2 linked regions of the Nothobranchius furzeri genome follow. The protein of the gene in region 2 binds, or shares a complex with, the protein of the main gene of each other region. Links are inferred from orthologs where the notes say so. Each region holds a gene or a part of one and is shown on either strand. Other genes may lie near its edges.

What was found.
Region 1: the proteins of ppme1 (region 2) and ppp2r5ca are in contact, whole or in part, in a cryo-EM structure (PDB 7SOY), measured with the Homo sapiens proteins. The link is inferred for Nothobranchius furzeri from reciprocal best matches to the Homo sapiens genes PPME1 and PPP2R5C. Residues at the interface, in NP_057231.1 of Homo sapiens: Arg37, Lys38, Arg39, Asn192, Lys217, Val251, Glu252, Gly253, Ile254, Ile255, Glu256, Glu257, Pro345, Gln346; in NP_002710.2 of Homo sapiens: Asp180, His187, Arg188, Tyr190, Gly191, Leu194, Arg197, Ser230, Ile231, Gly234, Phe235, Ala236, Lys240, His243, Asp313, Gln341, Tyr348, Glu353, Tyr354, Glu399.

What each region holds. Positions count from the first base shown.
Region 1 is NC_091758.1:28,640,303-28,644,121, forward strand, and holds part of ppp2r5ca (serine/threonine-protein phosphatase 2A 56 kDa regulatory subunit gamma isoform), read right to left. Parts: intron 3,301-3,819; coding exon 3,173-3,300; intron 2,969-3,172; coding exon 2,867-2,968; intron 2,772-2,866; coding exon 2,699-2,771; intron 690-2,698; coding exon 573-689; intron 1-572.
Region 2 is NC_091750.1:48,878,354-48,882,766, reverse strand, and holds the start of ppme1 (protein phosphatase methylesterase 1), read right to left. Parts: upstream 2,808-4,413; 5' UTR 2,623-2,807; coding exon 2,537-2,622; intron 1,818-2,536; coding exon 1,724-1,817; intron 1,217-1,723; coding exon 1,124-1,216; intron 1,027-1,123; coding exon 969-1,026; intron 1-968. UniProt on the Homo sapiens protein: Demethylates proteins that have been reversibly carboxymethylated. Demethylates PPP2CB (in vitro) and PPP2CA. Binding to PPP2CA displaces the manganese ion and inactivates the enzyme.

The sequences.
Region 1 (3,819 bases), on a different chromosome or scaffold from region 2:
TTCCCAACCCTAGTGATCCAAGGCGTAAGGCAAAGCGGGTTAGAAAATTGCGTTTTGAGCCCCGTTGACTTGCATTCATTTTTTCGTTCTTCCGGGGGCCCATGAGCCGACTGGAAAGGGAGGAGACTTGGGCTCCATATTTTCCTACAGTATGTAGTCAGTTTTCTGTCAGCTCGTCCAACAGAGTGGTGTGTGTGTGCGCGCGCGTTTGTTAAGGGCCCATTTCTCCGATGGAGACATTCTAAGAGTGTGTGGGGGGATGGATGCTGCGAGTCAGTCAGGTGATGCCCCCATCTATCTCATACGTGTTGGGCATGTTCTCACCCAGAAGGGACATATTTATATACCTTAAATTATTTTATTTATACATGTTTTTTTTTTCATATAACACACTGTGGTTTAATGATTTCTGTTTATTTGCCTATGTAAATGTTTGTTCCTGTGCTTTTTGGACTAGAGTAGAAAATATAAAAAGATGTATATATTTAGATGAATAACATTTAGAGCACTAACAGCTTAATAAGGAAACTCTGCAAGCGTATATATCAAAATGCACAGAGAGTCAGGTTTACCTGAGTTGCGCCCTCCTCAACTGTCTTTTTTAACCTCTGAACATCTTCTATCAAAGGGACATCCGTCTCCATTGCTACAGGACTATAGAGGTCAGAGGAATCAACATGTGTAAAGAACTACGTTGAAAAGAAGGGGAAACAAAACAAAAAAAGATGGGAAAAAAGATTTTCAGTTGCAAAGAAGTGATTTTGTTTTTACAGCCTGATTTTTATCGACGATATATTGTTGAAATTTGATTTATAGTACTCTAGTTATTGATCTGTGAAGAAAGTAATTTCTCCATGAGGTTTTTGGAGTTAAAACAACCCCAAAAATTTGGCTTGAATAAAAATTATTTTAGAAAAAAATAAATAAATAAGGGATTTTTGTGCATTTGGGGATTAATTTATTTGCTTGTGGAGTGTAAAAACAGCAGACGTCTCCGCTTTTTATGTCTCAAATTTAAACAGGAGTTACATTTTCTTGAAGATGAAATAAAGAATAGAAAATACTTTGCTAAGATGAAAAAGATTCCTTTTTTATAGAGTTTACATAAGAAGACAGTGGTGTTGCCCTTAAACATCCAAAAAAGAAAACCACCGTGAGAGATTTTGATTAAATCTGTGCAAAAATGCATTTAAAATTTTACAACTTGATATCAGCTGCTCCCCCCCCCCCCCCCCGAGATTTGAGTCATTATCATGTATATTACACCTAAAGGGAAAAAAGTTGTGTCAATAAAACTGTTTTACATTTTAACTAAAACAAGTTAAAGGTAACACTGAAATAAAACTGCATCATATTTAACATTTAGCTTCTGAAATCAGAAAAACACCAATACATTTCAAGACATTTTTGGGTCCCCTTTTTATTATTATTATTTAGTTACTTTTTATTCTTATTCTGTCATTTTGTCCCATTTTTCATAATTAGCATAAAAAGCAATGTTAATATTTCAAACCTATAGTAATATTAAGAATAATTTCTCTTAACATTGAAAACTTAAATGTTGATCCAGTTATTCTTGTTCCTTAGAGCATTGTGTTCTTTTTCATTTTCACGGCATGGCGCTAAATACCAGGGGCCTCATTTATCAAGCTTGCTTACGCACAAAATGGGGTCAGAAAACTGCGTAAGCAACTTTCCACGCAAACTTTGGGATTTATGAAAGAAAACTTAGCAGAAAAATGTGCGCAACTTTAAGTTGACTAAGGACCTGCCTTACGCACATTTTGGACATGGAGAGCACCTGCAGTGCTGCTGAGGATAAAATTATGAAATCCTGCAGCATTATCACTTGTACTGCTTCGTTTTCACACAGAACAAAACCCCTACATGCACACACAGCCTGAAGCGCAGAATACAGAATGCAGAATATCAGCAGGGGGACAGATTGAGACAGAATGTCATGCGTCTGTGACAGTGTGTCCTGTCACTGTGACCCGATTGATCATGCGCCGTGGCTACTTGGACAAGGGAGATCTCTGTTTGGCTGACTGGTTAGCGCGCATGACTTTCACCCGGAAGTCTGGGGATCGAATCCCGATTGGGTCATATTTTTTATATCCGCCACAGATCTCGGACGATTGCATTGACGGCTTCAGCAACGCTGTACCACTCCGTGGATTTACTCTTGTTTGTTTTGCAAAAGCACTTCCTTTCATTTCTCCACCTCACCCACAGGTACCTGAATTTCTGCTTGTGAAATAGCGCTTCCTTGGTCTGCGGTCGTGATCGAAATGCTGCAACAAGCTGGCTTATCTATATGCATGAGGTCCACAATGCACTTTGCATCGACCATTTATGGCAGTAAGTGGGCGTGGTGAGGGCGGGATGTGACTAAAAAGCAGCTGAGAAACTTTCTAGATAGTTTCTTATTTATGAAGCGGAGATTGCTTGCAGCTGTGCGTACTCCATGTTTGATAGATCACAAACCTACTTGGCGTAAGTACATTTTTTTGCTGAGCTTAAGTACGGTTTTAGTAAGGATTCTACGCAATGTTTGATAAATGAGACCCCAGCAGTCTTATTATCATCTTCACCTAATGCAGAAGAACATCTGCACCTCGGTGGGAAACCTGGGAGCTCCATTGCCAGCTGCTGCTTCTTCATGGTGAAAAAGAACCGACGTGCAGAATGGACTCACCTGTGGATTTGATTTGGCGAGATTCTCAATCTTGCTCCAAGCCTCTTCGCGCTCTTTTGACTTTGCCTTCTCCCTGTTTAACAGAACATCACAATTCCTGTCACTCATTTGACTTAATGCCGCCTGCCGGTGACAAAAGGTAATAAGCTTAAAAACTTTGGGGCGTACTTGTTTTTCTCTGCTTTGAACTGCTGTGTGCAATCATCAAAGAGCTTCTGATTCATCTCCATGAAAAGCTTCAGAGCGTTGTAGATGAGGCCATGGATGGTCCTGCGAATATACATTTCAAATTAGGTACATTAAAGCATTTATAGACATAAATGAGGAAAAGTCAGTAAAATGCATCACAAACACCTACTGACGGGTCATCTCTGACACACCCCAGTAAAGGTCGTGTGAGCCGTTTTCCTGTGAGAGTCACAATGAAAGGAACACAGAGCTCCTACAGATGCCTGCTGAAGTCAAACAGCTTACTTGTTCCAGTGTGTCTTCGAGTTGCGGTACAGAGCGGGAAACATGATGGGCAGGATTTTGGCTGCATTGTCGCTGATCAGACTCATGATGTACTCGTTGTTCCAGTAGTACAGCGCTCTCTCGGCCACCTAAAGGGAGCACAGAAAAAGGAGTTGTGAAACGATGACGTGAACGGTTTTGTTCACAGAATCGGGCTTGGAGAATAACTCCTTCCTTCAAATTAAAAGCCTGAATTGTGTTTATTTATTTAATTTTTTTTAGGGTCATTCAAATTTGAATATTGGATCAGAGTAAAAATTATTTACTCATACAAGATTTGCAGAACACCCATTAAGCTTCGTTTGGACTGCTTTAGAGACATCACGGTTACCGGTGTAGCAGTAAACACCTACAGTTGACATCAGTGCAGCTTTTGATACTGTGGACCATAACATCCTTCTGGACAGACTCGCAAACTGGGTGGGACTATCAGGCACACTGCTTGGCAGGTTCAGATCCTATCTCAGGCCTAGTCCACACGTAGCCGGTGTTTTTTAAAAACGAATATCCGCCACTCCAAAAACTTGCATCCACACCACCGCGTTTTAAAAACAAACTCTGTCCACACGTACCCGGATAAATACGTTGTTATGGACATGCCAGACCTG
Region 2 (4,413 bases):
GAGGAGAATGAGGGACACATTTTTCCATGTTAAAAAGTCTCTGAAATACAAAAAACACAACAAAAACACAATAGTAAATGTGCCATCTTTAACCAGATACAAAACAGGATACCTCAGAACAGCGCTACGCCCTTCGTTGTCCTGGTGAGGAATTGCTTTACAACACTCCCAAAGAGACGGAGAAGTCCGAGAGCAAAACGTCTCTGTCAATGCGTGTGTGTCTCTCACTTGTGGAGCTGATGCAGAAGCACAAACTACTCTTTAGGTTTCAAGTGAAGGGGTTTGAAGAAAAAGATGGCAAGCTGTGGCTCCATCTGTCACTCAATCACAGTCTGGATCTTCAGTACATCCTGGAATGTGAGAGCTTCAATAATCTTTTTTTGACAACTTCTTCTTGTCCAACAAGGACGTTAGCAGTAGCTCGGGCTAGCGTTGTTCTGCAGTTAGCATCACCGCGATAAACAGACGTTTAAGTGGGTTGGGGCATGCAGATTTAAAGTGGTGTTTAAGCTTATGACACGATAAACCAACTTGTTTCAGAACAAGCCGTTTCTCTGTGGCCATCGGAACATTACTGGTTTAAACAGGAAAACAGTCAAAGACGGCACAGGCTTTTGGTATTAGACACTCCAAGCTGCCTTTACTCAATAACAGTATAGTAAATTTGGTTTTAAATTCACTTTAAGTGTAAAGATAGTGTGACTCTAGTATTAAACTTAACCAGAAACACTTTAAAATAACTTAACTAGTAGTATGCATCAACTTCCTCGATTAAATAAAGGTCAAATTTTGTATTTTTGAATACATAATCTTTTTTCGTAAACTCAAAATGCACTTATTTTATTTATTATTCATTTTAAGCCTCATATAGATATTTTATTTTAAGAAGTGGCTCGTCTCCCGCCCAAATTCACAACCTGATATCAGTGAAGAAATCACATGGCTCTAACGTGATGACCATTACCTACCATGAGCTCGGAGGTCCATGGCCACCACTCTACAGTTGATCCTGTTGCATATGACAGCCTGTGAAAAAAACATTTATGACAAAAGGTGATCAACAAACATGCTGAAATCTTCATATCAATGTGATGAAAGAGGGACTTTAGAGAGTAACACTCACAGTGAACACAGCCCAGGAAAGTGCAGAGTGGCCTCCACCATGGAGCAAGAACAGGACTGGGCCGTGGGAGCCATTACAGTACAGTCGGAAAATGTTCTGGGTTGTCAAAGAAATAAAAACCAGAGCGACAAATACACATGCAGCTCAAAACAGAATAAACAACTCAGTTTGAAATTCTAGTTTCCCCCCGTCATTGGCTGTAGGCAGTTTGTTTTTATCCATCCACCTCCATTCTTGTCAAGTTCCCTCTGATTTTTAAGGACACACCTCACACTGTGCATAGATGAGTCTGTTTTCTGGCTAATAGCATAAATATCACTTTCTGTTATCTTTGCTGAGCCATGAATGGCTCAAAGACAATTTAAGAAAAGGTGGCTTTATAAAGCAAAGGCTCAAGGGCTTGATTAACAAATTGTGACAAAGCTGTTCAAATATGTTGCTGATCATCAGGAAGCCTGCTGCAAAAGATGACTTAAGTATTTATGAGAAAGTCTCACTGCTTGACAAACAAAAGACACGTCAGATGGCTCAAGATTTTTTGCACAACTGTATTAAGAGTCACTATTAGTCATTCAAACTTAAAACAGAGGCCAAGGATATATCTTTGCCATTTTCATTTTCGACCTCAACATCTTCCATGGTTTCAAAGTACTGACTCCAGGATAAGGGAGTGAAATCTCTCTTCCTCCCAGGTCTGTGGAAAACATAAAACAGAAGCAATTAGGCATTACTTTACTCTTAACAGCACAAATGAGACCATTTTAGCGAAGAAAACACCTCTGGTTTATGTTATAATTAAGTGTAAAATATCACCAGTCCTTTCAACAGACGTACAGGGCACCAATTTTAAAGCATTTTCATCTTGAAACTTTTCACCCAAACCTAGAAAACTACAAATAAATAAATAAATAAATAAATAAAATAAAATAAAAAAAACGGCAAGTTTAGCTTTAGATTTTTTCCTTCCACAAAAACCTGGGAAAGGCAGGGTGTAATATCTAGTTTCCAAATGTAAAACACCGTGGAGTCATGCTGTATGGATAAATATAAACACAAATGTGTTTACTAAAGAACAAACCAGCCAGCTGATGACCCATTCATAAACATAAACAAAAATCATTATCATTAAACTTACCGTTATCTTTTTCCATCCAGATTCACTGAAAGTTACAACAAATACTATCGGACAGGAACAGATGTTTAATATAAATGCAAACAAGCGAAAAGTTTCGTGATTTCAACAAAGATGGACTAAATTCTAAGCCGCAGCTAGCTTACTTAGCCTGGATAATGCTAGCAGATAGGGAGCTAATAATGGGATATTTTTACACTCTGTTGTGACGGTGGTGAAAATAAATATGACGTTAAACAGCTGATACACGTGGGAACAAACGCAACAAGTTGATTACTCACCCCATTTTCATTTTGGAGCTAGACTGCATTCCACCTGCCATAGGAGGTCTGGAGGCTAGCAGGTTCAAATGCAACTGCTTCTCCATGTTGTCAGAACGGCTCGGTCTCTGTCAGGGACTCTTTATTATCAACGCTTCTTTCTGTCGCTGCATATGATTTCCCCCCGACTGTTTTACATACGTTAGTAAGACATTAGATAACTGTGTTAATATAATGCTAACAGCTATCGGTCTTCTGCGTCGCGTTGTCTTCTTTGCCTTTTTCTAGCTCTTAAAGGTAAATATGGAGAAGTCACACATCACTGCCCCCTAGTGACCAAGCAGTATATGACAGGTTTACAGCCTGTGGTGGCATCATCTTTGTCTGTTTCCAGCTCAGAATTAAATTAAAATAAATACTTAAGACATTTTACATGATAAAGAAAAATATTAGAGGGTCTCGTCTCGTCTCGTCTCGTCTTCCTCCGCTTATCCGGGTCCGGGTCGCGGGGGCAGCATCCCAACTAGGGAGCTCCAGGCCGTCCTCTCCCCGGCCTTGTCCACCAGCTCCTCCGGCAGGACCCCAAGGCGTTCCCGGACCAGATTGGAGATGTAACCTCTCCAACGTGTCCTGGGTCGACCCGGGGGCCTTCTGCCGGCAGGACATGCCCGAAACACCTCCCCGGGGAGGCGTCCAGGAGGCATCCTGACCAGATGCCCAAACCACCTCAACTGGCTCCTTTCGATCCGGAGGAGCAGCGGTTCTACTCCGAGTCCCTCCCTAATGTCCGAGCTCCTCACCCTATCTCTAAGGCTGAGCCCGGCCACCCTACGGAGGAAACTCATTTCGGCCGCTTGTATCCGCGATCTCATTCTTTCGGTCGTGGGGAAGAGGGAGCTGAGCCAGAAAGCCAGGCTCTCGATTTACCGGTCGATCTACGTCCCAATCCTCACCTATGGTCATGAGCTTTGGGTATTAGAGGGTTTAAACATAAAAAATAGTATAATATGTGTGTTTCATAGTGCTAAATAAAATATTTATTTTATTTTATTTATTTATAAGAAACTTATTGGGCTGCATGGTGGTGCAGTTTGTAGCACTGTTGCCCCTTTTCAAGAAGTTAGCACGTTTGACTTCCAGCTGCAGCCTTCCTGCATGGAGTTAGCATGTTCTTCTCATCCATGCAGGGATATTCTTCAGGTAATTTTCCCCGTGTGAGTGAGTGTGTGACTTGTTTGCTTCTGTGTGTCTCTGTGATGGACTGCAGACCTGTCCAGGGTGTCCCCTGCCTCTTGCCTGGTGATTGCTGGGGTTAGACATCAGCACCTCACAACTCTGGTGAGGAGTGTCAGTATTAGAATTAAAAAAAATGCTGCTTGATTGTATTTTTATTCCAGAGATCAGTCTGATAACTGTATTATGTGTAATGGGCAGAAAAGCAAAAAAGGCCTAAAATTGGTCTTAAAAGGGTGGAGTGTTGCAGTTTATTAATGTTATTACTTACATGTGTTTTTTTTATTTCAAACTGTCATCTGAAACATGGAGCATTTAAAAGAAGTGGTTCACTGATTAAGAACAAGAGCAGATGTTTTAATAGATGTTCTGTGAAAAGCTTTTAAAACAAAAAGATGGGAGTATTTCTAAATCTGTGCTGTATTTATCAGGAAGCTGGTGAGGAGATGTTAACACAGGAGAAGGCCAGTCTCACCTTCTGTCTGGTTCCAGTTATGTCCAACTACACATTTATCAGCCAGGACGACAGAGGCTGCTGGACGCCAACATAAGTCTGGAGATCTTTCCTTTTTATTAGAGAATGAAGGTTGCAATTAAATTAAGGAACAATTCTGGGAACCCGGCTCTTTATCACAGAGTTAATCTGTTCATCATTAAAAGGTGCC